2 linked regions of the Neodiprion lecontei genome follow. The protein of the gene in region 1 interacts with the protein of each later gene in a biochemical or structural test. Links are inferred from orthologs where the notes say so. Each region holds a gene or a part of one and is shown on either strand. Other genes may lie near its edges.

Region 1 (17,405 bases):
TTTTTTTCATATTCTCACGAACTTCCAGCGAGTTTTAAGAGGATGCTACGGGTAGTCTCTAGTAACCGAATAAAATATCACTCATTTTGACTATTACCCAGAGTCTACGCATCACTGACATGAAAATGGCGCGGATAGCACATTTTAGCCACTGCAATGTCGAACAAGAATATTCAAAAGCTTCTGTCTTTCATGCAAGAATAACATCAGAAAATGTGCTCCTACAATTAGTAGTAATTCTATTACAGGAATATCATTGTAGCGTAAAACAAATACCCGTTGGGTTCTTGTGTTCTGCTTTCGATACAGAATAGTGCTATCACGGGACTACCTTTTCCCGTTAACGAATGCGTAGGCTCTGATAATAGTTAATCATAAGTGACATTTGACTTGCTCGGTAAGGACTGACTATAGAAACTTTTTTGTGAACTGATTTTGAATTTTGAGGATGTCGAAAATTGCAACAGATATTATCGTTTTCAAACCATTAAATATGACTCGAAGAGATAAAATTTGTTCATGAACGGGTACGGGGATAATTAAAAAAAAAATTAGGTAATGCGTTTCATAGTTCGGTCCGTACATGGCAGATATGATGCTGCAAACATATTGACATAAAATCGAACAGAATTGTAATTATGTACTTGAGAATCATTGAAGCATACATATTTACTATTCGTTTCATAAGTCAGCAGATAATTTAAAGTTTACTAATTAATCCGGTCATAGTTAATTTATTATCAATCGGTGTTCTGTCATATTATATTCCATTTTGTCACAGTATAATGTTACATATATATTATACATTTTTTGTACGTGACATCGTGGTCCAATTTGTTATTTTTTCAACTTTCTTCTTCAATTATAAAATTATTTATGCTGATTTAATTCATGCACTTACGTTACAATTAATGTAAAAGATTAATAGAATCGTTCGGTAAAGTATTTATATAAGTGCATTGCAGCGTTAAGATCTGACAGTAAAACAGTTAATATTCACCACTCAATATCTGTGAAGGCGTAGAATAAAACCTGCGTCATTGCTTACGTATTCCATAAGTAGTTGTTGAAGAATTGAATAAAAAAGTTATATATAACCATATTTACATGAGTCAGTGAATAAGTTTTTTGAAAATCTCGAACGAGATTGGTAGGAAAAAAAAAATTTCAAATTAGCGCCAAAGTAATCGCGGCGTGACTCTAGTCGGAATTTAAAGAGACAGGCAAGTGACAGTCACTTTTCTACTTTTCGTCTTTTCCTATCAATGTGGCGCTAGCTGTGATCGAATGACAAATTGTATGTAACCGCCAGCGGTTATTTGGGTAAAAAAAATACAGGTTGCGACAACAGTACATGAATTAAAAGAGCTGTTTAAATCGAGGTAAATACTGGCATCCGTACATTCGGCGGTAAATTATGTCAGTGTATTGAGTAGCTGGGAGTGATAGGGAGACATGGCGAACATTGCGGCGCAACGAATCAAACGGGAGTTCAAAGAGGTTATAAAAAGCGAAGAGGTGAGTGAATAAGTGCAACTTCTCAACGACCCAGTACATTTACCAGTATTTAGCCAAACGCGTGATCGCGAGAGAATTTCACATATTATGCAACGCTAACCTGTAACAAACGGCTAAACAGATTCTCCACGTACCAAGTCGTAGACAATTTTGAGTTGAGGGCACATCTCGCTTTCCTCGCTCGTTATAATTTTCAAACTTTCCTCTGACAGTTGCTTGCGCAATTATTTACCTCGTCTGAAAAGTGTCTGTTGTTATTAGAAAAAAAACATTTTCATTGAAAACTTATCCTTTTCACAAAATTCGTGAGAATCTCAAGTTCTTAGTACATGAAATATCCTATTCAGTTCATACTCATTTCCATAGAATCTTTATTTCTTCAATATCTACGTTCTCTGTCAGGTTCATCTTTTAGGTTTCATCATTTCTCCGGATATTTGAATACTGTTTTAGAGTCACTAATTAACCATCCAAAATTCCTGTTTGAAAAGATATCAATAAATGTAGCTTACTTACCATTTTCTTCTTCTTCCGTTGACAATAATTCGACATTTTCTGGGCTTGCCATAGATTTTTGGGTTGCAGTCAAGTTTTGTTTTTCCAAGACCCCTTTGTAGGCAGGCTATCACGATTTCCACGCTTTGTTAACAAACTGCTTTGAATCTCGTCACATTTTCTTACTTCAGACCGCTTCTTGCGCTAGTCGACATTTCGAAACTTTGTTATTTTCTACACATCATTACGGGTCGCGTTGATAAACTTGGCTTGGTCATTTTTTCTATAAAAGTATTACAGATTAAAGGCTACAGGGGGTCGGCAATCTTATTAAAAGTAGATTACTATTTCTCAGCAATACGATGTATCTGTTGAGCAGTACTGTTCGTATGAATCGCGATAATATTTGTGTTGATAAAACATAACAACCTCGGTGCATAGCTTGGTTGCCTTTCCCTTTTCTACAATTATAATATTCATTAAATATGCTGATAAGATAGTGTTGTGTTTCAGTTGAAATATATTTTCAATAGTTGAAGTTGATATTGAATATGGTCAACTTGTCAAATGATTTCCTCTTCTACTTTATTGGCATTTTCAACAAACAATAATTGACTAATCATGTTTATCTCTTTTCTCTAACATTTCAGGTGGCAAAATGTGCGATTAAGGTAGAACTAGTAAATGATAGCTTCACAGAATTAAAGGGTGAAATAGCAGGACCACCCGACACTCCATATGAAGGTGGCAATTTCGTGTTAGAGATAAAAGTACCTGAAACGTATCCATTCAATCCACCCAAAGTAGGTACCAAAACCATCATGAACAAAGATGTAGTATAAGATCTGAAGTCATTGAATTTTACACTTTTTTATTTCAGGTTCGTTTTATCACAAAAATATGGCATCCAAATATATCCTCGGTTACAGGCGCCATATGTTTGGACATATTAAAAGACCAATGGTAAGTTGCAGTCCAATAATGGTTACTAATATAATTGATCGGGTGATAATTTTGCACTCTGCAATGTCGTTGGTTCTATCACCTTACGACAGAATAATTGCATAACAGATTTTAGTTGCATTGTGTTTTAAACGATAATTGTCATCCTTTGTCAGGGCTGCTGCGATGACCTTAAGAACAGTTTTGTTATCGTTACAAGCCTTATTGTCAGCTGCTGAGCCTGATGATCCACAAGACGCTGTGGTTGCTAAGCAGTATAAGGAGCAGCCTGAAATGTTTCGTCAGACTGCAAAACATTGGACGTCTGTGTATGCTGGTGGTACAAGATTTATCTACTACGAAATTTATTAAAGTTTTTTTTACGAGTAAAGACCTCAGCGAACTAATGATTGTAATATCAAAAAATACCAAGAAATGCCTGATATTTTTAGGACCAGCTAAGATGTCAGATCTCGATGACAAGATAAGAAGATTGACTGATATGGGGATCGAAGAACATAATGCACGAGTAGCCTTATCCTCCTACAATTGGGACTTAGAACGTGCCACCGAACAGCTATTCAGTTAGTGATTACTGTGTATTCTTATGTATCATAAAAAGCAGCTACTAATTGGCAGCAACCTCTTGGAATGTCACTGTCACAAAAGCATACCATCGTGTTTTCAAATAATTGAGAAAAAAACCCAACATTCGTAATGACAATATTGCAATGGTGAGATAACTTTGGAAGTGATCCCAAATTTGACTAACTATTAGCATTCATTTAACATGTAAAATAGATACGAGAAACAATAATAATTGATGAACAAGTTTTAAGTAGCAAAATTTCATAAGGTATGTAACTCAAGAGGAGGGCATTATTACGATTTACGAGAATAAGTTGTAAATTCTAAATCTACAAGACGAAGCGACATTTATGTTTGAATAGACATATGAATGTTTTTTTTTTAATCAATTCCCAATAATCCACTTAGAAACAGCATTAGTAAAATATTTAAGAACCAAACACGTATTAAAATCTACGAAGATAATTGCTTTGATTAGGCACTAACACAGTTGCCAAGTGCTTCCCTGAAATTTTTCTTCAATCTGAGTTCAAGTTTTATGTGAAACCTCATTGCTGGAGGTGTGTATCCAATTGACTGCGTTACTAACGGTTGTACTACTCAAGTGTAACTCATTGTCAGTTCAATGAATGATGATATTACATGTTTTTGCCCCCAACTCTTATTGTTCGAATATAAATAAAATTATTAAACACTTCTTCAATTGTCAAAATTTGAAGATTGACTAGCTGATTATAATATCCTGCAGCATATCGACTGATTGTAACGGGGTTTCGCTTGACTCTTGAGTGTATATTAATCAAATTAACGTATCTTTTAGTCCTAATAAACGTATTTATGAAATTTCGGTAGCCTCCAAACTTGATTTGTGAATATTTAAATTTTGCACATTTTTTGAAGTTTGATTACTTGCAAACTTACACTACTTTTCATTATACCGACGATAAGAAAATTCCAAGAAATCAGCAAAATTAAACTTATAATTTTAATTACAGTGACGGTTATGGCGAAAAATTGAACGTAGCTATTTGATGAAAATACATTTCTTAGAAAACTTGGAGTGTAAGACGGCAGTGTGGTACGACAGGATATCGCATGGTCGGTCCCGTGCACGTTTGCTAAGTGATGTTGTATACGTTTCACGTAATGGAACATTTGATTAATTTAATCTACATCCTATCTTACTTCGATTGTAATTCTAAGAGTAAAGTTCTATTGCCAGGTGTGAAATCTTACCTGCATACGATGTACTCCAATTAATTGAAAATTGATAGTTATGTTTCATAATATTTCATGCATTTTTCAATCATTCACAATGTGCAGGCTGTGTCTGAAGTGTCGCCAGCAAGAGTCAAGGTCCAACTACTCGCAAACCAGTTTGTTAACTTGGGACAAATGGTTGGGATCTGTGAATTTGAATTTACAGGAAAACAAAAAAAAAACTCTGCTCTGTTCATATTGGGAAATTTAGGATTTATACCATTTAATAAGATCAATGTACATTAATAGGCCTCAAATATTAATAAAAGTAATTTTTTTTCAATACTTCTTTCAAAATTTGATCCACCTTGATTTGATCGTGGAAAAATATAAATAGTATACAGTTTTGAATTACTGGAAGTAAAAAAATTATTCGGTCAATATTTAAAAACAGGGCTTATAGCACTCTTAAAAAACGTGCCTAATCTATAAAGAAAATTTTTTTATTCGATACAAAATACTTACGCTACAATAATCGGTATCACATAAATTTAATTACACACACGTATATGACATATTGTATAGTTTAAACAAGTTTCTTTCACTTTCTATTTCACTAGTAAATAAAACACATTCGATTATGATTTCACATCATGCTATTCCTTAATAACACTTGACGTCAACGTCTGTATGCATTTATCTTACAAATAATCAATTACCATATTTATATGCCCTTAGTTTCTTTTGAGAGAGCGTTGCTAGAAAGAGGTCATTGTTTTTAGTATTAAAGGCGCAGAAGTCTATCACAGGATCAGAAACAGGAAGATTATAGATCTGTTTACCAGTTGATATGCTCCAAATTGGTATAGAGCTGGTAGCTTCTTGATGAGCGGCTAGAAGCGTGTCATTTTCAGTCTTTATCTGACACGGTCTAGAAAGTAATTTCTGTGAATTTCCACCTTGGAAAGTGTGAACGATATTGCAAACGATTATATCCTCGGTACCTTTTTCAATTGTACAAACAGTATGCCTTGCCTGCGGTTGCCTGGGGTTTGGGCGAGACGAAACCACGACATGTTTGCTTTCGGAATCGTAGCAAACTGACACAAACGGCCCTTCAAGAAACATTTGCTTGCCTGCAAACTCCGCATCTTTGCTTTCGTATGCGAAACAACTATTCAGGCGACAAGCTATGAACCCTCCAGCCGGTATTCCACTGTCGTAAGCTGGTGCAACCTTTGCTAAAGCGACGACCGGTGATCTGTCTCCTGGTCCGTCTATTTTGCTGATTGGGCCAGCCGTTTGTCTAATATCGAATTGTCTGACAGAACCGTCTTGGGCACCGGCCAAAAAGACATTGTGATTATTACCGGCCCAACAACAGCTCCATAGCTGAGAATCCGTCTGATAATTGTGAACCACTGTATTATTGTGGATGTCCATCAACTTTGCACACTTGTCGAATCCAACACTAAGGAGTATTTCGTTTATGTAAGGATTGAACGACACGTCTCTGATGGCCTGAGAATGCAGGAAGACGAATTGTCGAGATCGAAATTCTCTGGAATCAATTTTTTTTATTCCATACCCAGAAAATAAGGCATTTGTGGATTTTTGTGATATGACTAAGGTCTGGTACCACGCATTATAGGCAAGAACTCTGCACCCGCCATCTTTACAAATGTCAATCGATCGTTCAAGATGAAATTTCTTTAACATTGGTTGCGAATTTGAGTGCTGTAGGCTCGATTGATATTCCTTTCCCATTTGCAGTTGCTGACTTTCAAGTTCTAATATTCGCTGCTTCATACCAGCCAGCTGTTGGTCGAATAATTTCTGCCGTATTATGTACCTTTCCAGTTCCATCTGCAGCCGACTTTTCTCTGCTGTAACTTTGCTTAATTCTACTTTCAGTTTGTCCGCTTCACTAGTATCAACTGCTGATAACTTTTTGACATACAATACGCGTATATCCTTAGCCGAAGCCTTGTGATTGCACTGAGGACATCGACGCGCTCCTGCGTTACATCCAGTTTGTAACCAACGCTGAATACAACTATATCCAAACAGGTGTCCACAGCGTAAAGAACAGAGACGATGTTCTCCAGAGTTGTTCCACAGATCCATGCAAATCGGACATGATTGACCCGAATCTAGGTCTGCCTCCTCATCCGAGCCTGGGTCTTTTCTTTTGTTTCCTATGAAATGAGTTTTGTCCATCGAGATATATTTGAATTATCTTAGGTAGATCAACGGTAACTGTTAATACTAGTTTGTTTTGCAAGAAGCAATTACGGTCCCAAAGAAATCCGAAACATCAAATAGGGGCTATAATTATCTGGACCTTGAATCAATGTCAAATATTTCATATGACTTTGAGATGTCAAAGGAAACATGACTTGATACTATGATGAAACAATATGTAAGTGCTTACTGCACCTTTGAATATTACTAAATAACTCACCAATTTCGAGAAGCTCTTCGTTATTGTTGTTTGCTTGTGGTTTTTGGAAAATTGGTACATTCTCTTCCCCTTGTACAGATCGAAAGGTTATTGGTTCACTATGCTCAATAACCTGAGCTTCTTGGTCTGTCTCTGGTTCTGATATGTGTACCACTTCCCGTATAGGAGTGTTGACACGATTATCAGGAGCCAGGATTACTGGCTCATCTGCTTCTTGAACCTCCATCTCTTCTTCATCTAACATAATCAATATTCAATTAATAATAAGAATTGGATTATAAGTGTACATCAAGCTCGATGTTGAATGATAGCTGCGTGCAAGTGTTTCCTCAAAATCTTTGCCATTTTTTGATCAACTGTGTCTGTGAATAGTAATTTAATCGATGGTTAATCGTTTGCTGACAAGACAGGGTGAAACAAATTAAAGCATATAAATGAGGCAGAAAACAGTATCAGATGTGGGGTAAACGGTTAACGGTAAATTTAAAGGGCTTATTCCTTGGAAACGGAAAGAGAAAGATAAAAATCAACTCACTGTTTTCCATTTTTAACGAAGTCGGACAGGTTATACATTTAGAAGAAGAGATGAAGGTGCAATGCGGGATTAGCAATGGTTGAAACTTGAAATTAACAACAAAAAAGCGGTGATCATAGTAGGTAATTGGAAAAATATCACGTTTATACTTTTTTACCGAACCATCGATGTTGCCAAAGGACTTATGACTTGGTTTCACTCCTTTGGAGTGCTCACTTATTTACGCTCCGTTCTGTTAGGGTCGGTGTCCTAGTGAGAACAAACGGGAAATCGGAAATCTTCTCAATCTGCTTAATCTCATCGGTAAACAGTCAACGCGTCTTTCAACATCAATCGGTATTTGGCTAACAGCCTGTGTTAATTAAATATCCTTGAGTGTCAGCAACCGATGGCGGTTAATGGCGGTCGAATCTGCCTCCAATAATTGTAGGTAGAGTATCGCGATGACCCACGTTGATTGGCCACTCATTGAATCTACTTCGAATATTGGCGCTAATTTTTGACAACCTTAAATTTTAGGACTTTCAGAATTTTACAGTTTGCATCTTGCAACTTTTAATCAATAATATTCTTTTTCACAACTTTACACTTTGTTCGAACGTTGTAAGGGAAAACTTGCGGGATATGAATAATCGTTAGAAGATCGTCTCGTTAGAATGTTACAACACCAGAATGCAGGGTTCTTTCCCTTTTTATTGAGTTGTACGCTCGCAACTATGCTGCAAAGAAGTGTTTTTACATAAACTTTGCATCGCTTGCAAATATATTCTTAAGTCAACACCATGATCCTTGCTATTTTTAATTTTCTTCTATAAATGTACGCTTTGCATGGCTTTCGACTTTTTCCTATCGAGCTCTCTGGGAATCGTATGTTTTGCGAAGTCATAATAAGCCACAATTGATTGTAATAAAATATAGTTGGTAAATTATTTGTGAACAGAACGAACTTTTGAATTACCCAAGGCTGGCTCATTTGTGCTTAGACGATTACTGAAAACTGGGTTTTGTGTCTTTCGGGATTGCGTGCTAAATGGCTCTCGCCGATGAAAAAGCTACCGTATCACCAACACGGTTTCTTATGGCCCCGGGCCTACCCAGGGCCCACTGAGACCCACTTACCCGCGGACTGGTTACGCAAAGTTATTTGTCACATGGATTCTTTGGAAATTCTGCGATTTTGCAATATCTGCGAATCATTTAAGAGGTTCCCGCAATGCATTTTTAACAAATTCAAAGATCGCCGGCTAACTTCACATAGTATCTTGCCGAACTTCAAAAAGCGTGACTCTAAGCGGTTATCTCAACAATTTGTAGTCAATGCTTGTTCCGTGGTAGCTTGATCCAAGCTAGGTCCACGGACTTGCTAGGCCATGAAAAGAAAAAATTAAATTAAAAAAAAAGAAATATGGCGTAACGTGATTGCTACACATGTGTCAGTGAATTCGGTAAGTGATTTTTTGACGATAGTTTATACTCGGTGCAAGCGTAAAAACGTATTCCTCGCAATAGGACTCACTGCGCAATTATTTTTACCGAGTATAAAGATTTTCTCATTTTAAATAGTTACATAACTTCACGGTAAAATCATGTTCAGGACGCATATTTCTGACGTCGGTTGTTCAGCCATTTGAGAGAAACTTTGTAATAAACATTTTCTCGTTACTCTATTACCTCCTTTTCTTTTTTCTCAAATTCTTTTCATTTCATTTTCAAACTCACCTTGCTGTACGAATACGTAATCTTTTTTTCACAACATCTGCCTAATTACGTAAGACTAGTTATACGGAATTTGATTTGAAGGAATATAAATACCGGCGTCTTCACAACGTCGAATCTACTTTTGCTCACTTGTTCTACTGGCACGCAATCTCCCCGATCTTACGCCTTCAGATTTCCTTCATTATTTTTAATATTTATTTATTCACTTAACGTAAAAATAAATTAGCAGCCCCTACTTGCCAACTACCATGACGTATATATCTACATACATTCGACGTAACCTTGTTGGTTTTTTCTTTTTTCTCTTCCTACAGATCTCAAGCAGCTTCAGCGCATTACCAAAGGTTGAAATCGATTCAAATATTTTCACTATCACCAAGAGAGAAAGGAAAGACTAGGTGAGATTTGCCTTCTTTGAAACCTTTTCAGTAAAACTAAGCACTGTAAAGCATGTTCACTCTCCTCCATAACCTGTTAACAATGTGACGAGATTCTTTTGTTGCCGTCGATCGAGACAGGAGATTCGAATAGCCATCGAAAGGTATCCAATTGCGATGATTGTCCCTAGATTTCAGAGTTGAGTGTTGGAAGTAAGAGACCTAGAAATTTTGCTTTTTCATAATCATTTAATGTCCTGTGCATTTATTTGATGGTTACTATTTGGCTATTTATTTGGTGGTATGTAATTCAAGATTAGATTTTTGAGTGATTAAACATTGAAGTATGTATTTTTGTACTTGTTTTCTATATTTCGTTTGCTTGTTATCACCTATTTTTGTGTACCTAATGATTCAATAGTACGAATTTATTGTAGATACCTATATGACGTATTTATTACATCACAAGGATGACCGTGGATTTTGATGTAAGTAGTAATTAACTACGGGATATTTGAAAATCTTGTCACATCGTCCATACTTATTTACATGTCGTAAAAGAAAAAGAAATGAAAATTTCATTTACACTATTGACCAGTTGCTCAAGACTTCCACTAAATCCACTGAAATTCAGTTTAAGAGAAAATATAACCACTTGATACTGTTTTTCAAACATTATTTACATAAATTTAGATTTCAACAAGCTTCTACAGATGATTTCGCATTACAAAATTGAGAAAGCAGATATTATTTCCTGTTTTTATACTGAGAAAAGAGTCAAGAAAACATTATTAACAAAAACGTATATTAAGAGGGTTTGAAAACCTTGAAAACAGAAATTTATCAAGTAATTTTACAATTTGTGCAAAATTTTTTTATGTAACAGGAGGATTTAATTTTTGTGACGGAGTGTTGGCAAAGTCTGGAAATCGGTGCCTTGAGTTTTGTGGCCATCCTTGTAGCGTATCTGCATGAAAATAGTTATATGCTTATGCCTCTGTTACACTTTTTCTACGACAATGTAGCAATTTAACTATTCTAAAATGCTAGTACTTGATTTTTCAGTTTCTATGTCATCACTTGTTGTTAGGAAAACTTACGGCGAAATGAACTAATCTCCCTTCAGCAAATTATAGTACGGGTCTCTTATTCAGAGTACTTTACTAGAAAGAAAAGTTAACAGTTTAGAAAAGTTGCTTGTTTATAAAACACTTCCATCAGAAGTTTGAATATGCAAAGGAATGAGATAATTTCAATGAATCAATACAGATATGTAAGATATGAATTTTCAAAATATTGAAATTCGATCTTATCAAAACTCTTCGGTATTTTATCTATCACTAACCGACGTACATTATCAGATTCTCATGTTTACAGTAAGTGTATTCAGATAATGCCGATAATCAGTTAATCCATGAATTTGAGCCCAACCGGCTCAATGATTTTCAAGATATCGAATTCCGAGTTCGGAAATGCAGATCCGACTCCACTAGTAGCAGACATAGTTTATTAAATTGATTTTCACTGTAGTATTTTTCACAATTTGACCATCCTTGTAATTAATCAGTAATGTGTCTGTGTTCATCGGTTGTGATTTTGAACCTATAGCATATGAAGAAAAAAAACAGATTTCACTGTATCCAGGGCTGATAACTTCTGTAACAGAATTTCGCACCATCCTGTTGTCTTTAAAAAAATTGCAAATATCAGGTACTGACATGCATGCACAGGTTTTATTCTTCTTCATTTCCACCGATAATATTCCTTTTCCATCCGATTTATTGATTTTAATGAAAATATTTGATGCAAAATGAACAAAGACTCGTCACAGGTTTTGCGAATCAGTTTGCCCTCATATTCCCAGATAATTATCTCGTCAATATGTATGTACAGAAATATATATATTAGCCGAGATAAATATACATAGTGCGGAAAGTTTGGGGTGACGATGAGGACGATTACACAACTCGAAAAACAACTATCCAACAACAGTGTAAGAGAGGCTTAGGTATTAGTGTGCTTGTGAAGGCGAGTAAAAGCAATGCGCAGTGTAAATATGTGAAGGGGAGGTGGTACTGATCTCAGAGAAGAGAGCCATTTTCAAACTCTTGGTTTAGATCAGCTAAATATAGCTGCAGGGTGTATAGGCTCCTGTAGTCTACCTTGCTCTGCAGAGCAGCGATATCCCACTCCATCACACAGATCTCGCTGATTTTCTACCTTCACCATGGCGAGCTGCCAAATTTTGTCTGCCTGAAATCTGTTAATAAGTTCTTCCAATTAATCTTAGAATCAGTAAATATCATTGTGAACTATTTATTCGTTTGTGCCAGTTAAACATGCGACTGTGTGCTTTCGGTGCTTTTCTTAGAAACTTGAAAGTTCCCATCCGCATTGTGATCCTTGCGACTTGTTGTCTTGGGAAGTAGTTCTATATTTAAACCGGAATTTATAACTTCACATTGTTCCTGCAAATAGTTATTTTACGTCCGCAGTTTAATTAGAGTTACTTCATCATCTTTTTTTTTCACGAAATACTTTAATTATGTTGCTTGGATGATAAAATTATGTTCTAATTTGTTTGCAGTTTTAACAAATAGTTATTCTGTCTGGTACACGTATTGCTTTGATTAACCCTAAATTAAGTGAAATGGTTATTGGTTAAAATGTGATATTGAATTATGTATATCAATTGCCACCCAGTCGTGTTTCAAAATCTTTAGAAAGACTGGAAAGTGTTCATTCCTCGCATACGAGAAAGATCTATTTTTATTTTCATACAAAAATACATTTTATCGTGTAACTTAATATAACGAAATAGTCAAGGTGCCGCCGAATGCTTGTGGTAGATTTCAAATTCACTTCGCACTGACTAACATTGCGGTAATATCATAAGTTGAGTAAAATTGAAACTAAGAATAAACGCACGAAATGTGCCTGCGACTAAACCTATATTATACATTCACAGGCTATGGTGTGTGCCGTCGAAGACTGTGGTGTGGAGTGCGTAGTTCGTGATTGCACTTCACGAGATGCCCAGCCAAAGTTTAAGCTTTCTCTTCACCCATCGACGACAGTTATTGATATCTTCAACTATGTAGCTCAACATTATTCCTACGATGTGGACAGCTTTGAGCTGGTGCTACAAAGTGCACGTGGTGAAGTGGTCAGTCGGTTTATTTTCACCCGTGTTCTTTTCGCTTTGAACCAAAAACTTTGAATACTGTGAATTGACTTCTCTCCAATATATGTAAATTTATGTTCTTTTTTTATACCTACAGGTCGAGCTAAACGAAGTAAAGGAAAAAAACCTGATGGAAATTGGATTGAATTTTAGTAACGAGACAAAGTACACACTGGTCGTGAGTGACGTTTCTCGCCACACTTCAAAGGATGCAGCGGCCAACAGAACTATTTCATCCATCAAGACTCCACTGTTTAGTCCATCCTCTGGAGATTACAACCGACCAGCTCCAGCATTCCAGTCACAAATCCAGGAGTTCACTTTTAATCATAAAAGTGTCATCAAGCCTGAGACTAGTAAGTTTGATGCACCTCGCGATACTTCAGAGTAAATTTCGTCGCAACGAGGCAATGAAAGGAAGCTTTTTTCACGTTCAACTCATTTTATTCTATCACGAAATATGGCTGATTATCAATATTCTGATTAAATTTTATTGATAAACAGAGCGGACGTTTCAGTTTTTGCTGCTTCAATACAGAGAAAGTGGTTGACTTTGAGCTCGATAGAGAGACTTCAAATATCATCATCAATTACATTGTAATTTATTTTTCATCTAGTAATTTTGAATTTTGATCATTCTTCTAGGACGTAGAAGGGGGAAAGTTAATAGTCAAGGTATTACTATGTTAATTTTGACTGTACATTTACTTGGATGACACTTTGAACCTGCCTGTTCCGTCATTTGACAGCATATATTTCGTAATCCGGTTATAGGAGACACAATTACTCAAATTTAGATATATGAAGCCAATTATGCAGCATGATGCTAACATTTCAATGAGTTATTCATTTACATGTAAAAAATTCAACATGATATGATTGGAAAAATTGTCTTGGACCGTAACGTTTTTCTCAAATTTTGTTCTTCAATGCTCACAATCCTTTATAACTAGTATAATATACTACATACAACTCTTTTCCGTTATGCAAACTATTCAATGTTAGCATTGATCAACTTTGCTTTCTAAAAAACTGGTTCAAACTTTACTTTACCAGTTGCTTTTGTATATCGAAATGATTAGACACTGATTAAACGACTCCTCTGTAATAATTCACTTGACCAAACAGCTGTAATCTTCTAGGTTACGTCGGTCTGGTGAATCAGGCAATGACGTGTTACCTAAACAGCCTTTTGCAAGCCCTCTACATGACCCCAGAGTTTAGGAATGCTTTGTACAACTGGGAATACGTCGATGGTTCAGAGAAAGATGAGGCCAAAAGTATTCCATATCAACTGCAGAAATTATTTCTAAATTTGCAGGTCAGTTTTCATAAATCAGATCACAAATTAGGGATGCAAATAGATATTCTAGAATATTCTGTATAGTTCGAAAGAAAATTATGTATTTCAAATTTCATTAATGCTATGATTTACATCTGCCGAGTAGACGTCAACAAAGCCTGCAGTGGAGACTACTTCTTTAACGAAAAGCTTTGGTTGGGACTCAACGGAAGCATGGCAACAGCACGATATACAAGAGCTGTGCCGAGTGATGTTTGATGCCCTGGAACAGAAGTTTAAAAACACACAGCAGGCTGACCTGATCAATAGGCTTTACGAAGGTATACTTTTTAGTCAACGAATACCTTTGTAATAAAATTATACATGATATTTACCACTGACACGCTGATCATTATTCAACAGGAAAGATGATCGACTATGTAAAGTGCCTAGAATGTAGTACTGAAAAGTCTAGAGAGGATACTTTTCTGGACATTCCTTTACCTGTTCGGCCATTCAGCAGCAATGTCGCGTACAATAGCGTGGTGAGCATGCTTCAATTTCAGGCCACAAAATCACGATACTGGAGATTTTTTAGTGTACTATCATTGTTTTGGACGGCAATTCACATTATATTAAAATATTTGTGATTCTTCTACAGGAGGAAGCCTTGCGAGCGTTTGTGCAACCTGAAACACTGGACGGGACAAATCAGTATCATTGTGAAAAGTGTAACAAAAAATGTAACGCACATAAGGGGTTGAAATTTTCAAAATTTCCGTACCTTCTTACATTACATTTGAAGCGATTTGACTTTGACTACAATACTCTCCACAGAATCAAGCTGAATGATAAGTAAGTCTCGTCTTGAATTGACTTTCTTAAGATTTGGATTTCTTTAACTCTTTTTTTTGTTTGTCTTCAGTTCTCTGCTATACCGATCGTCACATATTGCTACAATATGTAATGCTTATATACTTATGTAACAGGGTAACGTTTCCCGATGTTTTAAATCTCAATTCCTTTGTCGCATCAACATCTGCTCACGAGTCTCCAGGTAGAGAGGAGGACATTGGCGTTGGAGTAAAGTGTGATGATAGTTCAACGACAGACAGTGGAACATTAGACGACGAATGTCCCCCGTGTGATAACAGCAGTGCAAGTACTAATCAATCTACAAATCACGATCAAGATGATGATGAAGGTACAAATGAAATCATACATTTTTTATTTCCATTCTTGCGAAAAGTAAACTATTTTTGCCTAAATTGTTTTTCGAAATGTCAATTCATTCAATTTGATAAATAATATTCACCTTCTTACGTTGACAGGTATAGATGTAAGCAATGGACCCTCAACCTCAAGTTGCAGCAATCACAATCATGAAAATGAAAAGAATTCTGGAAATCGTGCAATTGATAAAGGTCCATATCAGTACGAACTCTTCTCCATCATGATTCACAGTGGGAGTGCAAGCGGGGGTCATTACTACGCGTATATCAAAGATCTCATGACTCAAGAATGGTTTTGCTTTAATGATCAGAGTGTCACGAGGGTAAGAGCTTTATTTTATTACGAAAATTATCTTGACTAGCAAAACGGCAAAATAAAAATGTTAACAATTGATGTATGTTAGCAGGTCTTATTCGTTTTATCAAATATTTTTGCCAATATCATTAATTTTTATGTAGTGTCGTTTGATTAGTTTGAAAGGGTACATATGAGTAGACGGCTGAAAAAGTTGGTGAATTTTTCAATCTCGTATCTCTGACAACCAAATATTCAATTCGATATGGATTTGTTTTCTTCAAAAGTGCGTAGATCAAACTTCATTCACATATTTTCTTTACTAGACTCAATTAATAGGAATCATTGTTATTGATAATAACGCCAACCAGTTCGCTCCGTGACATTTTTTGAGATGCTCACAATATCTCGAAAACGGCTTGAATGATTGATTTAAAATTTGGAGACAGTATTATTAGATAATTTATCCTCTTTGTTACGATCCGATTTTTTTTTTTCTCTAACAAAAGTTATATTTGTCGTACAAAATTTACGAATTTTTTATTTAAGTAACTAAGGATATGATAAGAAAACTTAGATCGCGGCAAAGAAAATGAACAATTCAAGAATAGTGTCTCCAAATTTTAAAAAATATGGAATTGAAGCTTGATCTAAATAGTTTTGAAGAAAACAGACCCAAATCAAATCGAATAATTAGTTGTCGAGGTACAAAGTCCAAGAATCTACCAAGATTTTGAGCTGTGTACTCGTACATACCTCCTTAATAACATACACGGATTAATTTATTTGCAGATAACTTATGACGATATTCAAAAGACATATGGTGGTGGACCTACTCGAGCTTACTATAGTGGAGCATACAGCAGCAGTACAAATGCTTATATGCTTATGTATAGACAAATAGATCCACATCGTAACAAGCTGCCGATGCAAGCAGTAAACTTTCCCAAACACATACAGGTACATTGTGAATCTAATAGATTTTTAGTTACTGGCAGAATATTATCACGTTGTTGAAATCTTTTTATTTACAAAATCTCAATCAGGACCTTCTGAAGAAAATGAAAGAAAGTGAAGAAAACGACCGAAAGAACAGAGAAAAACAGATGTCTATGTGCAAGCTTAAAGTGTATTGTCATCACCCGGAAGAGGGCAGGCTCACAGATGCAAAACTTTACGTATTGCAAGATGAAACGTTACAAGAAACGACAGAGGTGGCTCACAGAAGGCTTGGTTTAGAAGGAATAGTAAAGCTAGATCAATGTCGATTAGTTAGTTACGATCATAACGAAGATTTGATCGAACGAAGCTGGGAAGGATCCGAGTTGATGGAACCGATCGGTGACATTTGGCGTAATAACAGCCGATTCGATCTCCTGCTTCAAATACGTCGGAAGGACGAGCAGTTTGAGACTTATTTGCCAGGAGGTGAGTTTTTCTGACAAGATAGATAAAAGGAAGATGCAATGTATCAGATATTTGACTTTTATTTCTACTACATTTTTTCAACCAAAATATTTCAAGAGATTCTATTCTATTCCAGGTGTTGCAACGAAAGTATTTGTTGTTGATAT
Region 2 (16,382 bases), on another chromosome or scaffold:
ATCTGGAACTGTATATCTGCATCTCGTTTTGTGACTATGAGGCAGTTTTATATTATTGATATTGTTTTAATTGTTTGACGAATAGAAGTCAAGACAATTTCTAGAATCAGTTCGAAATTCTTCATCGCTCCAAGTAAGTATGGACTCATATTTATTTCTTGTGGCCCGTTAAATCGCATTGTTTAACGCTACACTGATTCCAAACAAGGCCCACTGTTACGTGGATTAATTTTAGTCCTGGTATTTGCTACGTGGAATTTGCTATTATGCGCAGGTAAAATTAATCGTTGTATAACCTGCAAGTATACAGGTATTGATGCGAATACAAAATTTTAATACCATTAATTACAGATTCCAAATAAATTGGAATGCATTCAAATTGTCATCAAGTGTAATAATTATTCATGCTTAAATTGTCATCAAGTATTTTCCGACGGCTTTTGGTACAGGAATCAAACTTATACCTGAAAAATAGTAATAAATACATGTCACGTAAATTATACCTTGAACATCTTGGAACATTTCAGTTATTATGTTATGAATAATGATATTCCTGTACTTAATATTTCTTCTATCAACAACAATTAACACAGAAATACATATATTTCTACTTCACTCTTTGTCTCTACGCGCAGATAGTGTAAAAAAACTGCACGGAAGACGTTTTTGATTCATCTTCCGTCATCGGTATTATCTACGTAGCTGAACAGATTCAAACTGCTGGTGATTGTGTGTATCTACAGATCAGCTGGTGACCGGCATATGTATCTTGTACAAACACCCGATCGAATCGAACGAAACAGTGTTTATCTCCGTGTCCTTGAAAATCTCCTGTAGTTTGTAAACTTTCAAACTCCACGTTTCATATTTGACATCTAATCACTTTCGCTCATTCTTAACGCTCTGTGTTTGCCAGTAAAATTGCCATTTTTTTTCAAGTTGTCAGCTGATTATCTAAAGATTTCTATTGATTGTTCAGCGTGTAAAAAAATCAATTTTCTAAAAGTAAATATCCTGCAGATCGGATGAAATTTTTACACAGGTCATTAATTTGGATATAGAAAAGTTATCCACTGGCGATACGTGCGCTTTCGTCATTCGTACTAATATTTAATCATGTATGGTGACTTGGCTGGTGTGAGCGCTACGCAATTGGGATCTAATTATTAAGTTTTACAACAAGCACGCTTAGCAAATTCGTAAACGTTTATCGCAGCATGGTGTCGCATTTCACTGTTGCAAATTCTAATTGACGTATTTGATCAACAACCATATTTTAAAGAAACTTATCCAAAAGTGCTGTTTAATTCAAGCACTGTTAGAAGTTGCGTTCAATATGTTATTCGTTTGATCGAGTTGACATAATATCGAGCTTTAAATGCTCAGAAAAGACTGATTAAGTTTCAGAGACAATTGCCAGCGAAGTTACTAAGACGAAGGAAAGTTTTCGTTGCTTGTTTACGAAATATTGGCATAGTAGCGGGATTTTCAACATGCCGTGGCAATTTTACAAATGTATGTATTCTTCGTTCAGTTAAGTATACTATTGATTATGAAATATTCTACAGGTAAATAATTTGACAACTAAGTTCTACATGTTTCGGCGTGAGGAAGACAGTTCTTTGTACTGATCAAATTGGTGGCCCTGAAAAGGGCCGTTGGATTGGTAATAAGTTGAAATTCGTGGGTGGCGTTCACTTTGAACTTGTATATTTGGTCACGGCTTTGGTGCCTTCGGATACAGCGTGCTTGGCAAGTTCTCCAGGTAGCAGTAACCTAACTGCGGTTTGAATTTCCCGAGATGTGATAGTTGACCGCTTGTTGTAGTGAGCAAGTCGAGATGATTCGGCGGCGATTCGTTCAAATATGTCGTTGACAAAGCTGTTCATAATGCTCATCGCTTTGCTGGAGATACCAGTGTCCGGGTGTACTTGTTTCAAAACCTTGTAGATATAGATTGCATAGCTCTCCTTCCTCCTGCGCTTTTTCTTCTTATCGCCCTTGGTGATATTCTTCTGTGCCTTGCCAGCCTTCTTTGCTGCCTTACCGCTGGCTTTGGGTGGCATCGTCAAAGGATAAAATTGGTAACGTAGTACTGACTCGATGCTTCACTCGTAAGCGTAGAAGGCGAACTACAGACCGACCTTCGCTGCGCCTATTTATTAAGCGCTGGCTCACCGACGCCGAGCCAATCAGAAGCCGCTGCGTTGAGTCAGACGCTCCGATTGGTCCGCGCCACTTGCGCTGACGCGTATAAATATGTAGTCGCAAGCCGTTTCGATTCATTCTACGACGAGCAGCGTTGACGCTTGGGTCTCTCGACGCGCACAAGTTAACAATTATCACTATGTCTGGACGCGGTAAAGGCGGTAAAGTCAAGGGCAAGGCAAAGTCCCGTTCGAGTAGAGCAGGACTTCAGTTCCCGGTGGGTCGTATTCATCGGCTACTTCGCAAAGGAAATTATGCCGAACGAGTTGGTGCTGGAGCTCCGGTATACCTCGCCGCTGTGATGGAGTACTTGGCTGCTGAAGTTTTGGAATTGGCCGGTAATGCTGCCCGGGACAATAAGAAGACCAGGATTATTCCTCGTCATTTGCAGCTGGCCATTCGTAACGACGAAGAGTTGAACAAACTGTTGTCTGGAGTTACCATTGCCCAAGGTGGTGTTCTGCCCAACATTCAGGCTGTTCTCCTACCAAAGAAGACCGAGAAGAAGGCTTAAATTTACTGCACAAACAAATAACCTTAAACGGCCCTTTTCAGGGCCACAAAATCGTTCAATATGCTTAGAACAACGTCTTGCACAATCCGCAACCTCATCTTGTTACCTTCCTAATATCTCATATTCGTGAACACTTCAAATTATATGTACTTTGGTACACATTTCAAATCTTGGCATACATATATTGCTTAAAATTCGCAAAATACCTTATTAATCATTAAACCCAGTGTTACTAATTCAACGGATAAATACGCCCTCCAGATTCTTTTCAGTGTACTGTGGTAAATTCATCGATTCTTCGAAAACGACGGCGTAATTCGTATATTCCTCTGCTCAATTCAATTGAACTCCGAAAATTTATAAAGAAAATCTTTATTGATTGCGTAAATCGATTCGCTTTGCTTGATTAATCAGAGATGGAAACTTGATGACAGTCATGACATTTCACAGGACATGTCTTGTCATGTATTCACGTTTAATCGAATGATGACTTGACTCTTCAGAATTGGAACAGAAAATTAAGCTGGGACATTTTATACATAGTAAATGTAATTTGCTGAATGTCGAATGTTTCTTCTATACGCAACGCAATATTCTTAAAATCAGTGCAAAAATTATTTTGAATGCAATGATTTTTTGTGGTACGGTACGTACAAACATTTGAATTGTAGATTACATAAATTCATAATTTACTAAGGTTGGAACCAAATATCCTGAAGGGTTATACGGCGTAGTCTCATAACGAATAAGGATGACAAGTAACATCAAATGGCGTTTTGATGTCCAATTGTACATCATGCAGCACGTATGAATCTTTGGTCAGAAATGATGAACAGAATATGCCAGTTGATTATTACACTGAATTATCGAAGGGCGAATCTTGCATAGTATATTACATGACATAGCAGTGCGAATCAGTTTTTCAACATCGGAAACAATCGGTGGACCGGTTTGTTGTTGAACTTGACGTCCAAAATCGTACAGAGTGTGACCTTAAGTTTCAAAGCATAGACGGCGTCTACGGTGGTTACAATTTTCCCTTTGAAATGGTTCCACTTTAGATACGAAAAATACTATTTCGCTTTTTCGGTCGCGACTTTTGAAGATTCCACCGATCGCCGTAGCTCTCTCGAGCCTTTACGACTCTCCATTTACAATAAAATTAGGAATGATGATACTTAAAAATTTAAAAGTCAGAGAAATTCGCAAAACGAGAACGTTAATCCCTCGCTGAAGGCTGCCGTATTACTGCCGCAATTTGCTGTAACTGCTGCAAAGACGTTATGTCCATTGTGTAAGGATTATGTATACACTATGGTTATATCCACGACTGGCTGCAACCTCCACCACCGCTCCGTCCACCAATGGAAGTGCAGTACGGGAATCTGGTAAGCTGGTAAATACAGACGCCAGATATTTCGTGACGCAGTTATTCGTTGGAAACGCTCTGATCCACGTTACGAAACTCTTCATCCGACTCGTTGAACCCGACATGGCACGTACGAAGCAGACTGCTCGCAAATCCACCGGCGGTAAGGCGCCCAGGAAGCAGCTGGCGACGAAGGCAGCTCGCAAGAGTGCACCAGCAACTGGAGGAGTGAAGAAGCCGCATCGTTACCGCCCGGGAACCGTTGCCCTTCGTGAAATTCGTCGTTACCAGAAGAGCACCGAACTCCTTATCCGCAAGCTGCCCTTCCAGCGTTTGGTGCGTGAGATTGCGCAGGACTTCAAAACCGATCTTCGATTCCAGAGTTCTGCTGTCATGGCTCTCCAGGAAGCTAGCGAGGCTTACCTGGTTGGTCTGTTCGAGGATACGAACCTGTGCGCCATCCACGCCAAACGCGTCACGATCATGCCCAAAGACATTCAGCTGGCTCGTCGTATTCGAGGCGAACGTGCATAATTTGCAACGATTACTTCGCGACAACCACAACCGGCTCTTTTCAGGGCCACCATTTACCCTATTCGCAAGGCATCGAATTACACTGTCGAGCTGTTGAACTTCAAATACTTTGCAACGTCATTGGTAAAGATAGTGAAACCAGGTTATTCATCTCTCGGAACCTTGATACGATTTTTTCAATAACAGTGAATCTATATTCGTTGTTGGATTACAAAATACTAGCGAAGAATACAACTTTGTACCTGAACACTGGTTCAATGAAATACGTACTGTGTTATCAATCTTTGATGCCGTAGGCCTCTTTATTTTTTATAATCTTATCACATACATCCTTGTGTCGGGTCCAATCCTTTACTTGACATTCCCTACAACATGTAAGTATTCATTAGTTGGTTTGAAAAATGTCATAATCGAAAATTCAACGAGAAACAACATTTTCGAGAAAGTAATGGAGTGTCAAGTTTACCTGCCGCAGTACCAAGCCTCCTTGCATTTAGAACAGCGATTCGACGCAATTTCTTTACAGGCAAAACACCTTCTTGGTTCTATAGATTCGAGCTTGTCCAGGTCATATGCTTCGCTCAAAACCTGTGCCATACTCTTAATGTGTTCTATGTCATTATTGAACAATGATTTAGATTGAAGTTTAGCTATTTTCTTCCATTTCCTGTGATACTTCGCCAGGATAGACGACCTTACCTAATAGAAGATTTTAATTCCACGATTTAATTACTAGTACAATAGCGAGCAAATTGTTCACGAGTAATACGTTGAAAATAAGTAATTACGAAATTTCACCTCAGGCAGCATTTCAACAATTATTGGTTTTTGTGCATTCGGAGGTTGGGACATTACGCTCAATTGACAAAGCCATCTTTTCAACTCTATCAACGGCGAAATTTGATCCAGTATGGTTTCGTGTAGGTATTTCTGCAGCTAAAGTCAATCCGGTTCAGAAATTATTCCAACACGCATACTTGCAATAAAGTTAGATATTCTATGAGTTCTTTCGAATTACCTTGACCAGTTTAGACATTCTAAATTCCGTGATCTCATAATACGGGGCACATTTTGGATTCAGGAGAATTTCCCGTAAACCTATCCACACTTGACCCTCTACTCTGCACATTCTGTCCTGGTCGGTTTCGTTTACCGTTTCCCATTTTCCGTTGTATACCATTTTATTCCCTAACGATGTAATAGTTATACTTGCGGAGTTACGGTTATTAACAACTTGAAATGAATCAGTGATGTTTACCATCCTCGCCCAATTTCTTCCAGGGTTGTTTTTCAATTAATTCAGTTAACAGGTACGGAACGTCGTGTGTTGATAACATTCGTGAAAGAGCGCATAGAGATAAACTGTCAGTAAACTCAGCCATGTATCGCAAAATCGAAACACACTTCATGCTAATGTCAAATTCAATTTCCTTCCTCTTTCGCAGCAACTCTGCCAAGCACGAGCTGATAAATAAAAAAGATATCAATCAAGGATTAATAAACTTCTCTCTATAGTCAAAAATAAAACTCATGTCTAATTCTGTTAATTCATCTGAATGTGATAAATTACTTTGTGTCTTCGAACTCGTCCTCGGATTCTTCTTTGCCCTTAAAGAGCAGATTCGTCACGTTGGTAACTGCGTAATCAATCAAATCCAGGGCATAGTCGTCCACGGCTTCTGCAGTATCAGAATGAAATAGAATATTCTCCAACAAGGAACAGGCTATCACTTCGTGATAAAACACGCTGTGCAGCAGAAACGTGTTCGTGGGTTCATCGTTTATTTCAATCAAAAGGGGAAATAATTTTTCTTTCCACACATTTATCTGAATCACTTCATGAATCAGTACCGGCATCTGAAATGGGACATTTCACAAAAGTACCTGATATATTTAATTACTCGTCTCATTATTCCCGTTAATTTCAAAGATTCGTTTCAATTCTTGTACAGAGTAACATTCAAGAGTGTATTTTTAACATATGTAGGTAGTAGTCAACATATAACATCATTGAAACTCAGATCATATATCGAAAATTTACTCGTATTGATCAAACTTTTCCTCCAGATAGCATATGTACAGATAAACATCGTGCTTACCTTTTTTAACGAGATGAACCATTCTTTTACAGCTTCTTCTCGCAAGGTGCTGATTTCTAAAACGCTTTGCTGGTTTAACAGCATTAACTTCTTGTGAAATTCCAGCCATCTACAATTATCGCAATATTGTATGCCGTATGAGAAAATATAGAGCGCAAGATACTTTGTACGAAATGATCGAATTTTCTTGGGATAAGAAAATAATTTACCGTTTAGTACCAATGTCGTCGATATTTGAAGGCTGTAAATCTTGTACGTGAATTTCTATTTCCCATGGTGTTATAATGTAATCCGTTCGTTCCGTCATATTACATACATCACAGAATTGAAAACTTCAGTGCTTATTCAAACTGATCACACGCTCTACTGACATCATCGGCCATTTGTAAATAATTTTCGTATCACGCGTAATCCCGCGTAAATTCGATTGGCAGCTGGCTTGAGCAATCAGTTTAGTTCGATTTGAAAGAGTATTTTAAATTAAAAATAATTGGTGTTGGATAGAAAATACCGATTACTATCGAGGTTCGAATTCCGAATGAAGCAACAACAATTTACGAATGTATACTAAAGTATATTATCTTCAAGAAGTTCAACATATTACAAGTTAGCCGAATAAAAATCATCTTGTTTGCAGACAACTTGTGAGCGCAGATGGAAACTGATATAAGGCGTATACATACGGTGTGTAAGAAAAAACCTTGCTTCATTTTATTAATCTTTGGAATAACGGCTTTTACGAATATACAAAAGAGTGAACACAGATTAACATAAGACTAAACAGTAACATACTTCTAGCGAGAAGCTGAGAAAAATATGTATGATATTCATATTACATATATCGGCAACGCATTACGCGTATAAACGTTACAACATGGAATAATATGCACAAAAAATGTAATGCGTGCTGTATTTTTTTTTTTTTTTTTTGATTTACAATTTTTGTTTTCTCATCATTTTGCGGTTCATAAAAAATAGACTGGTAATGGAATAATTTTAATCTAACTGACGTAATTGTACTGTATCATAACATCTTCCTTTAAAAAAGAGGAGGGCAAAGGTACTCGATCTATAAGTACCCGAAAAATTTAAACAAATCGACGCTGAATGATCCATGTTTACGTGGTTTTGAAGTGATCGTCGGTAAGCGTTGTGTAAATGTGTCCTTCCCCGGCCAGGAAGTCGAGTATATCGTCGACCTGAGGACGGATATGCGGCTGCACCCGCGCCTTGATTTGATCCCTCTCGATGCCGCTCGGCGTGTCGTTTTCGGATTGTATTATCTTGAAGACGGCTTTCTGGTCGTTCGTCATGCCGCCAAGGCTCGCTCCCATTATCGAGGAATCCATCAGCGAATTCTGCAGTCCGACAGGTTGATTCGAGTCCGGGATGCCGATCGCGTCCATGTTGCCGGCTCCAGCGAATTTCTCCCCCTTCAGGTCGACGTATATCGTCTCCAGGAGGTGCAGGGTCAGTTCGTTCAGGTCCGTTATCGGCCATATTTTCATAATCAGAATGTGCTTCTTCTGGTGCTGCTCGCGGAGCGAGCCGAAGACCCGGACGTAGGTGTTCACCTCGATGACCGATTCCTGCGGGGGTTTGTCTGCCTCTATCCAGTGGAAGGCCGTTATCGTCCCGGTTTCGTCCTCTATGTCGTAGGTTATCTTCGTCGCCGAAGGGTCGATCCGTCGGATGATACCAACGGTCGTTATTATCTGCACGTCCGTACCCCAGATTTGCAGTTCCTCCGGGCTGTCGATCAAGTGTTTCATCATCACCGGAACGATGTTCTGGGCCCGTTTCACTCCTCGTTTCGCGTTCCCCGCCGGCGAAGACACCTCCGAAGAGTTAAAGTACCCACCCCCATCATTTGCAAACGCTTTTTCGCCCCACATTGTCAACTCTGTTAACTCTTATAACGAAGAACTAAGGTCACAACTTAACCTCAAATCGCAACAACACGCTTTTTCAGGTTCACCAAACTGCGCGCTGTCTACTGTTTGGCGGGATTTCCATTCAATGGCAATCCTCAAATGTTTATTTCTGCGTTTGCGTTTGCGCGAGACAAGCTGGTGGCGCCATCTGCCAAACACTTGGCGCATGCGTATTGCAGTTGCATTCATGGATAAGGAGTGCATCAGCGCACGTAAATGCATGAGAAGACCGCACAGCTGTCGGTCGCCTTTATTGATTCTTTGTGTTTGAGTACGGTAGAAGGCCTCTGGCATATTGTAAACAGAAACTGTTATCGTGGAATAATTGAAAAGAGTAGCCATGGAAAATGTGTCGAAAAGGAAGACACGGAAGAGGAGACAATCTAATCGAGAAGAAAATAAGGATGTTGACACCGATGTGGATGGTGTAAATTGTAGAGAGCGCATAACCTACGACGTACTCCGACTGATGCTAGAATATTTTAATATTACGGATTTAACTCGGGCGGCTATGGTTTGCAGGTAGTAAAAAATTTGGTCGTTCTGTAATGTGTTCTAGCGGCCAAATATTCCACATCCAACGATTCTCTCCATTGTGGAACTGGTTCTTCAACAATTTATTTTAACTGCCTCTTGCGGTCGAGCCACGTTTTTTTGTTCCATTATTTAAAAAACGAGAACAGTTAAGAATAGTTAGTTTTTTAACTTGGTTCTCCAGGTAATAAATAAAAATGAACTACCCCTCACCGAACCGATATGTTTCAGATCCTGGAATGAAGCTGCCGAAAAAGAAATTCACACTCGACTGAAACCACAACATTTTTTGCTTGAACCTAATACTGAGTCGAAAAAAATTACCGATCCAAAATATGTTGTGGACAAATTGTTCATCCAGCCAAGTGTTGGAATGGTGTTTAATGGCTTTCATACTAGACGTCAAATTTGGCAGCCAGGTACTGTGTGAGGCTTAACGTAACATCACATCGACGCAAGCTATCTAGAAAACGAGAGAAAGTAAAGTCTGGTGAAGCTCTAAAATTTGAAATACTTAGTATTTGCTCACCTTCCCAATAATTTGTTTTTTTCCCATATTTTTTCATTAGAACTCAATTGCTTGAGCATTGTGTTTGATAAGTTGTCAAGCTGCAAAGAAATGGGAAATTGAAAATAATACTTGTCAAGAACTTTGAAATATCGAGTAATATCAAGTGTGTTAAAACAATTTCATCGATAATGAGATTCGTCATTCATCTTCGTTTTCTAGTTTGACTGACATTCAAATTTTTCAGATTGTTTGTGTAATTATTTGCCTCCTCAAACTGATTATATAACATTGACAAACAGTGGCACTATTTATGATGAAGTGGAAAACAAAGCTAGAGGTCTATCCAGTATATTCTTCCCTGAGATTCCTGATGTGAAAATCAAATACTTTCATACCACAAAATTGGACTACCTCAAATTTGATTCAACGCAAAATCCTAAATCTTGTAACAAATTAGCAAGGGAATTGTGTAAAATATCTCCAAAAGAAGAAAACATAAAATGTATAATAATGTTCCTGGGTGGGATGACACGCAACATTTTTGCAACCCCAGATCCAGACCACGTAGAATCGGTCATAAACTCGATTGTTTCATATGGGTAAAGCACATGGATTCAACAATGTGGTATGAAACATGACATGATAAATTTTCACAATTATAATACTTGCACGATATTGTCATTCCACAGAACGAACACAGCTAAAAATAAAATTGCGATTTGGGGTGGCATCGCTCGCAGGGTAATGGTATGCAGTTCTTCGCGTGATAAGAGGATATGCAAAAAAAGTGTACCTATTGCTGGCCTCAGTATCTGCGGTTCAGGTGTTTCAACGTGGTCCATGGTGTTAAATAGCCGTATAAAAACTAAGGAACAAGCTGAAAAAGAATTGACAGCCTTGAGGGATGCGGTCAAGTTGCAAAAACACACAATTGGTTTCATGTTCTCTTGTTGTGCACGAGGCGATAGCTGGTATTCGGAACCAAACGTCGAGGCTAAAATCTTCAGAAAACTTTTTCCAAATGTTCCACTCATTGGATCGATTGGAGATGGGGAGTTTGGCGTATCCACAGTTCGTCACGGTATTTACCACCAGAATTAAAATTAATTACTCTGTGTGACAAGCGCATGTCGTCCGAAAATACTGAAAAACTTCTCGACATGTGTTATATGTGCCCACGATATGAAATTTTTTCTAGACTGTCAGTTTTCGATAAACTATTTTGCTTCCACTTTGTATTTGACTTTTTTTTTCATATTAAAAAAGTAATATTAATAATTCTCTGGGGTATTTTAGCTGCATTAGTTACAGATTGACATTATTTAGGCATGTTACTGCTATAATGCTGTCACAAAGATTTTGAAAATTTCACACTTAAAATTTGTCTGGACAACCTATGGATGCAACAAGTTTTGATATTTTTACTTCGATCAGTATCGTTAACATTCCTTCTTATTTTCTGTTTTCAGAATACTCGCCAGATGAACGTATTTTCCATCAATATGCTACAATATTTTTAATCGTGTCTTACGGATCTGTGAGGAAAGTGTTATAAATATTCAAGTAAACTGCATCAATAAGAAACGGGTTGTTAACACAAACCAGTAATGCATTTTGTATTTTATTACAACAAATAAATATGACAAAATCCTATCATTTAATTTTCAATCAGTTAATGTTACCTAGGAATTCTAAATGCCAATTATAATAAAAGTATGAATCTATAAACTGTATAGAGTATAATAAAATCAATCACATCCAAGTAGGAAGGTGCAAATGTTATACAGTGTGTTAGAAATTCATAATCTAATTTATTAGTGCTCACCGACCACACAAGACACTCTTTGCGTCAGTCATATTTGAAAGGCACGACTTACTTTGTCTAACTTCTTAGTAATGCATTTATAAGCTATGTATTAATATTAAGTAGAAACAAAGAAATGTCCTTAATCAGCCTCTTTCATTCACATTCTCAAAAGCTTTTGCCTCTTTATGTAAAGCTCTAGAATGAGACAAAGTGTGGCACAGTTTTAGAGCATGTTGGTCAGAAAATTGATCAATGTCCAAATATTTTTTAAATTTTGCTACAGTCAGATATTATGAAACAAAAATCACGTAAATTATTCTGAAATATTTGCTATCCACATTCTTTAGATACAGATATTCAAAGACTCATGACAATTAAATTCCTTAACTTGAATATGTTTACAAACTGCTACTACAAGCAAGTTTTTTTTCTAATAAAATTATAATGATAAAGGGTGGGGATTATACTAATTGTAATGTAAGAATGAATACTGTTTGAAATGAAATATATATATAAACTTTCGACACGCAAGTGTTTCAGCACTAATCCTTGATAAAAGGGAGAAAGAATTGAATAAAGCTGTAATGACGAAACTGGACATGTAATTTAGTAAATTAATTACTTCAGACGATGAGTATCAATATACACATAAGATGGAGTAGCAGGTGGTTTAAGGGATTAATACATTGATAATCCGAGTGAATAAAGTAGGTACTCAAACACCAACAAGTCTATCCTTATCTTTTCCACGTATCACTCACATGTAGTTAATCACGTTGAGTCCCATGATGTGGAAACGTGTATAAAAATTACATTAAATATGTATAGAAAAATATGATTCAATCTAATCAAGAAGACAATAAGAACGAGAAGTACAGAACGTTACATACTAGGACCCGATGACCTTATCTAAGTGCTGTTTTAGGGTAACTAACTGACGTCTGGTCTCTGCGTCAAATTCCGGTAGGTACGATAGCCGGAGTCCATCGTTGGGCAGCAGAGAAAGGACCCTTCCATTTTCCAAGGGCACATTGACGTTGGCGACATTCTCATTAACCACAGATGTCACTAGGAGCGGACTGCCCTGCATACTGAGGGCCATTTCACCCTGACGAGGTCGTCTCATCACGCTCAACGGTGTGTTGGGCTTGACTTTGGGGGTGACGAGGGCGTACTCTTTTCCGTGAGGCTTGAGCAGCGGCGCTGGAGTCTTGAATTTGTTTTTAATAGCAGACGAAGCGCCTCGTTCCTCTTTCCTGGAGGTTTTGGGCGCGAGGGTGATTTCGCAAAGTTTTGTTTTCCCGCTTGCGGACGAACTCCGCGTCCTCATTTTACGCGTCTTTGTCGAGGCCGCCGGGACGGCCAGATGATTTTGATTCGTCGTATTCGTCGTGGTTCCGACCTCCGTCGCGTAACCGTCGTCAGAAGCGGTTGTCGTGCGCTTCGAGGCCCTCGTCGGCCTGACCGTCCTCAGGGTGGGCGAATTCGTCTCGTCGACGTCGATAGAGGAGCTCACCTCGCATTGTTCGCTCGCATCGTTTTCGTCTGACGTTATTTGGAGTATGTCGCGGAGCGTCAACTTCGTCAGTGATTGGGGTAGACGGGAAGATGCCATGCGGTAGTGCGTCTCGATCCTGTTCAATCGCCCTTCGAATTCTACCTGCATTTTGTGCAGCCGTAGCTGCACTTGCTTCTCGAAATCTTTGAGTAGCAGACCGCCGTCCTCGCCCGCCACGATCGATTTTGTTTTACGGATATGCTTTGTTCGCGGCATTTTCACCTTTGCGATCGCTTCTCACGGAGGTTTAACAACGCGGCTTCACAGCTGAGGCGTTGACTGAAGATCTTCAGTCAACGGCTGAGGGATCCGATTAAAACCTCCACTTTCTGCCTGTACGGTATTTACATCTTAACCCTCCTCGAATTGTTGGCAATTTCACACGCAACTCTGTTCCAACTGGCTGTTGATATGATAACGCTATTGCACTTCAAATCTTCGATTTTGCTAACTGATTCCCTCGTAAAATGACAACAGCTCCTAACGTACATTTAATTTTCAAATCGTAAACCACGAATTACGACAAGATTACCGAACTCTATTGACTAAATGTTCTGCGCTCTCTCGTGGATTCTGTCCGAACTATTCGCCATCAATTAGAATACAGTAGAATATACAAGTTTCCCGCTCTGTTAACAGCGCTTTGGCGCTTGCTTCCAGCAGCTTTGATGCTTTATGGCCACGAAGTAAGAGGGATACTTCGTGTTTATGGCAGAGACGATATAAATTTAGTGTATCAAAATACGTGCGATGGACGTGAATGCTGAAACGAGTGTCTCGAGAGAGAACTTGGATGATGTATGTCGTGTTTGCCTTTCGTCCGATCCTGGCAACGAATTTATTTTCCGAAATGAGGCCAAGATTTCAAATACTAACAACACATTTACGTTGTCCGAAAAGCTCCAGCTTTACGGTGGCATAGAGGTTAGTTTAGTTTGTATAGTTTGAAGCGATACTCTGCTACAGCTTCTATTTTATGTAATGGAATAAACGACAAATTTCATTTTATCCACGTTAGATCTGGGAGGACGATGGGCTGCCTGCCAAAATTTGCACGCTTTGCATCTCTAAAATTAGCGTCGCACACGATTTTCGTGATCAGTGTCAAAGAGCTGACCAAAAGTTGCGAAAATTATATGGCAAACCAGCAGGAAGAAACACTTTGAAACTTTCCAGTAGTTTTAAGGTGCGTAATGCTATTGTACAGTTAATGGGAATATTTATCATTCTGACAACTGTTTGTTTTCGGTTATCTTGACTCATCTTTATCATCTTTGCTTTTCTTTAGGATCAGTACTGTCAAACAGATTCGTCATCGTCATGTGTCAAGAAAGAAGAAGAAGTCAGCATTACTGAAGAGGAAACCAAAATGCAGCAAAATGTCCCAATTAGTAATCGGTTGACCACAGAGATCCAAGTATCTCCTTGGAACAATTGTACAGAGGACATAGAAGTTCACGAGCATAAAATTTTGCAAGACATTAATGTTGATGTGCCGCAAGCAGAAAGGGAGAAAAGCTCAGTGAAAAGAGAGTCGTACAGAACTCGCAGGGTGTCGATGTTCAAAAGAATGACATCTATGGAAAATTTAAAAAGTCACAAAGAAAGACAGAGACAGTATATAAAAAAAAACACAAGTTCCAAGGTGGAGTCTATAGAGCAGGATTATTCAAGCGTAAAGCGGATGACTCGCAATAGGATAACTAGATCGATGGAATACAATTTGGAATCAGAGCTCTCTCACAAGTGTAGCAAGTGCAATAGATCTTATTCGACGAAAAAGTCGCTGGAGAGACACGCATTAACTCATGATAGTAAAAAGTTCAAATGCGATAAATGTGGTAAAGAATTTTTTAGACTGGACAAGCTGGTTGAGCACAGTAAACTACACGTCTCAAAGCTCAAACCAGAGCCTGTATACTGTAAAATATGTGACAAACACTTCAGAAAAATAGATACTATGGTCCGACACCTAAATGTCCACAAGAAAGCTAATCCTAGGGAAGTTTTCACTATACTAAAAGAAATTAGGGACAGACGAAAGGCGGAAAATGAAATAAAAAATTGTATAGAGGATGGGAACAGTGGAATTAAAATCGTGAAGGCGGAGCCGAGTAATCAGGAAAGTAGTAGCGGGGATGAAGAGATCAGCAAACGTCTGCAAATGTCAAATGATAATCAAGACTATAACCCAGACTCGCTGAACTCGGATTCGCAGAGCGAAAGCGAGACGGATTCTTTTAATAATCTAGCTTTTTATAGATGTAAACACTGCACCAAGTGTTATTCTACAAAAAAATCTCTACAGAGACACATGTTGATACACGACGAGAAGAAATTTGTTTGCAATGTTTGCAACATGAAATTCTTTAGGCCAGACAGATTGAAAAGCCACAGAAACAGGTATGGGCATGATGAAGACAAAGAATGCTTGGAGCCTCAAAAACCGCCGGATGACAAATCTGCAATAAAATTAATAAACAGTTGGATAAGAGAGGAACTGGATTCCGACAACGAAGGAAAGGGGTTCCCGTGTGAAATTTGTGGTAAATCTTACGTGACCAAGAAATCATTGCAGAAGCACAAGGCAAACATGCATGAGAACAGAGAAGACTTTTGTGACAATTGCAAAGCGGATAAATGTAAGTGCGCTGAAAGGGTGAAAAATATTGACAAGAAGAATGAAAAGTTGAAACCATTCAGCTGCGATGAGTGTAACAAGTCCTTTGAAAAGGAATCAAAGCTAGAAAAACACTTGAGAAGTCATGAGCGTGCCAAGGAACAGCAGGACTCAAATTTCAAACGATTTTTGTGTCACATTTGCAGCAAAACTTTTCGTCAAAATACAGGACTCATGTTCCACATGCGGACGCACACTGGCTATAAGCCGCATGTGTGCAAATATTGCGGACGTGGTTTTACATCCAATTCAAATTGCATTAATCATGAAAGAACTCACACTGGAGACCGACCTTTTGTGTGCCATTTTTGCAGTGCAGCCTTTGCAAAATCTTGCACTCTGAAAGCGCACATTACAACTCACACGGGAGAAGCTAATTACCACTGTAAAACTTGTGGAAAATCGTTTCGACGACTTAAGTACTTGAAGGAACATAGATTTACGCATACTGGGGAGAAACCGTACGCCTGTAAAATCTGTGGCACTGCTTATAGTCACTCCGGTAGCTTGTTTGTCCATGAAAAAAAATGCAAGGCTCAATACAGCAACTATCAAGCCGTTTCTGAGCAAAATGCGCAAAATTATACCCAGTCGCCAACTGGGCTCAACACCTCGTCGGTCATGGCTCCTATTA

Evidence for each region.
Region 2: the proteins of E3 ubiquitin-protein ligase RFWD3 (region 1) and replication protein A 32 kDa subunit form a complex in vitro, tested with the Homo sapiens proteins (3 studies listed by BioGRID, with this or other methods). The link is inferred for Neodiprion lecontei from reciprocal best matches to the Homo sapiens genes RFWD3 and RPA2.

The regions. Positions count from the first base shown.
Region 1 is NC_060261.1:10,708,136-10,725,540, reverse strand, and holds E3 ubiquitin-protein ligase RFWD3, read right to left. Parts: upstream 9,080-17,405; 5' UTR 7,753-9,079; coding exon 7,743-7,752; intron 7,445-7,742; coding exon 7,208-7,444; intron 6,942-7,207; coding exon 5,455-6,941; 3' UTR 5,132-5,454; downstream 1-5,131. Other genes in the region: ubiquitin-conjugating enzyme E2-22 kDa, read left to right, coding at 1,456-1,518, 2,664-2,816, 2,894-2,976, 3,132-3,295, 3,408-3,539, 4,539-4,561; ubiquitin carboxyl-terminal hydrolase 47, read left to right, coding at 10,309-10,326, 12,807-13,004, 13,120-13,378, 14,165-14,343, 14,471-14,645, 14,728-14,849, 14,966-15,159, 15,294-15,508 and 4 more. UniProt on the Homo sapiens protein: E3 ubiquitin-protein ligase required for the repair of DNA interstrand cross-links (ICL) in response to DNA damage. Plays a key role in RPA-mediated DNA damage signaling and repair.
Region 2 is NC_060262.1:40,659,617-40,675,998, reverse strand, and holds replication protein A 32 kDa subunit, read right to left. Parts: upstream 8,759-16,382; 5' UTR 8,620-8,758; coding exon 7,843-8,619; 3' UTR 7,405-7,842; downstream 1-7,404. Other genes in the region: histone H2B, read right to left, coding at 1,695-2,066; histone H2A, read left to right, coding at 2,348-2,722; histone H3, read left to right, coding at 4,215-4,625; zinc finger MYND domain-containing protein 10, read right to left, coding at 4,903-4,990, 5,092-5,324, 5,424-5,561, 5,644-5,813, 5,884-6,089, 6,196-6,482, 6,725-6,833, 6,934-7,031; F-box only protein 22, read left to right, coding at 8,999-9,180, 9,424-9,611, 9,948-10,302, 10,393-10,784, 11,173-11,258; borealin, read right to left, coding at 12,400-13,284; zinc finger protein 420-like, read left to right, coding at 13,819-13,992, 14,087-14,254, 14,357-16,382. UniProt on the Homo sapiens protein: As part of the heterotrimeric replication protein A complex (RPA/RP-A), binds and stabilizes single-stranded DNA intermediates that form during DNA replication or upon DNA stress.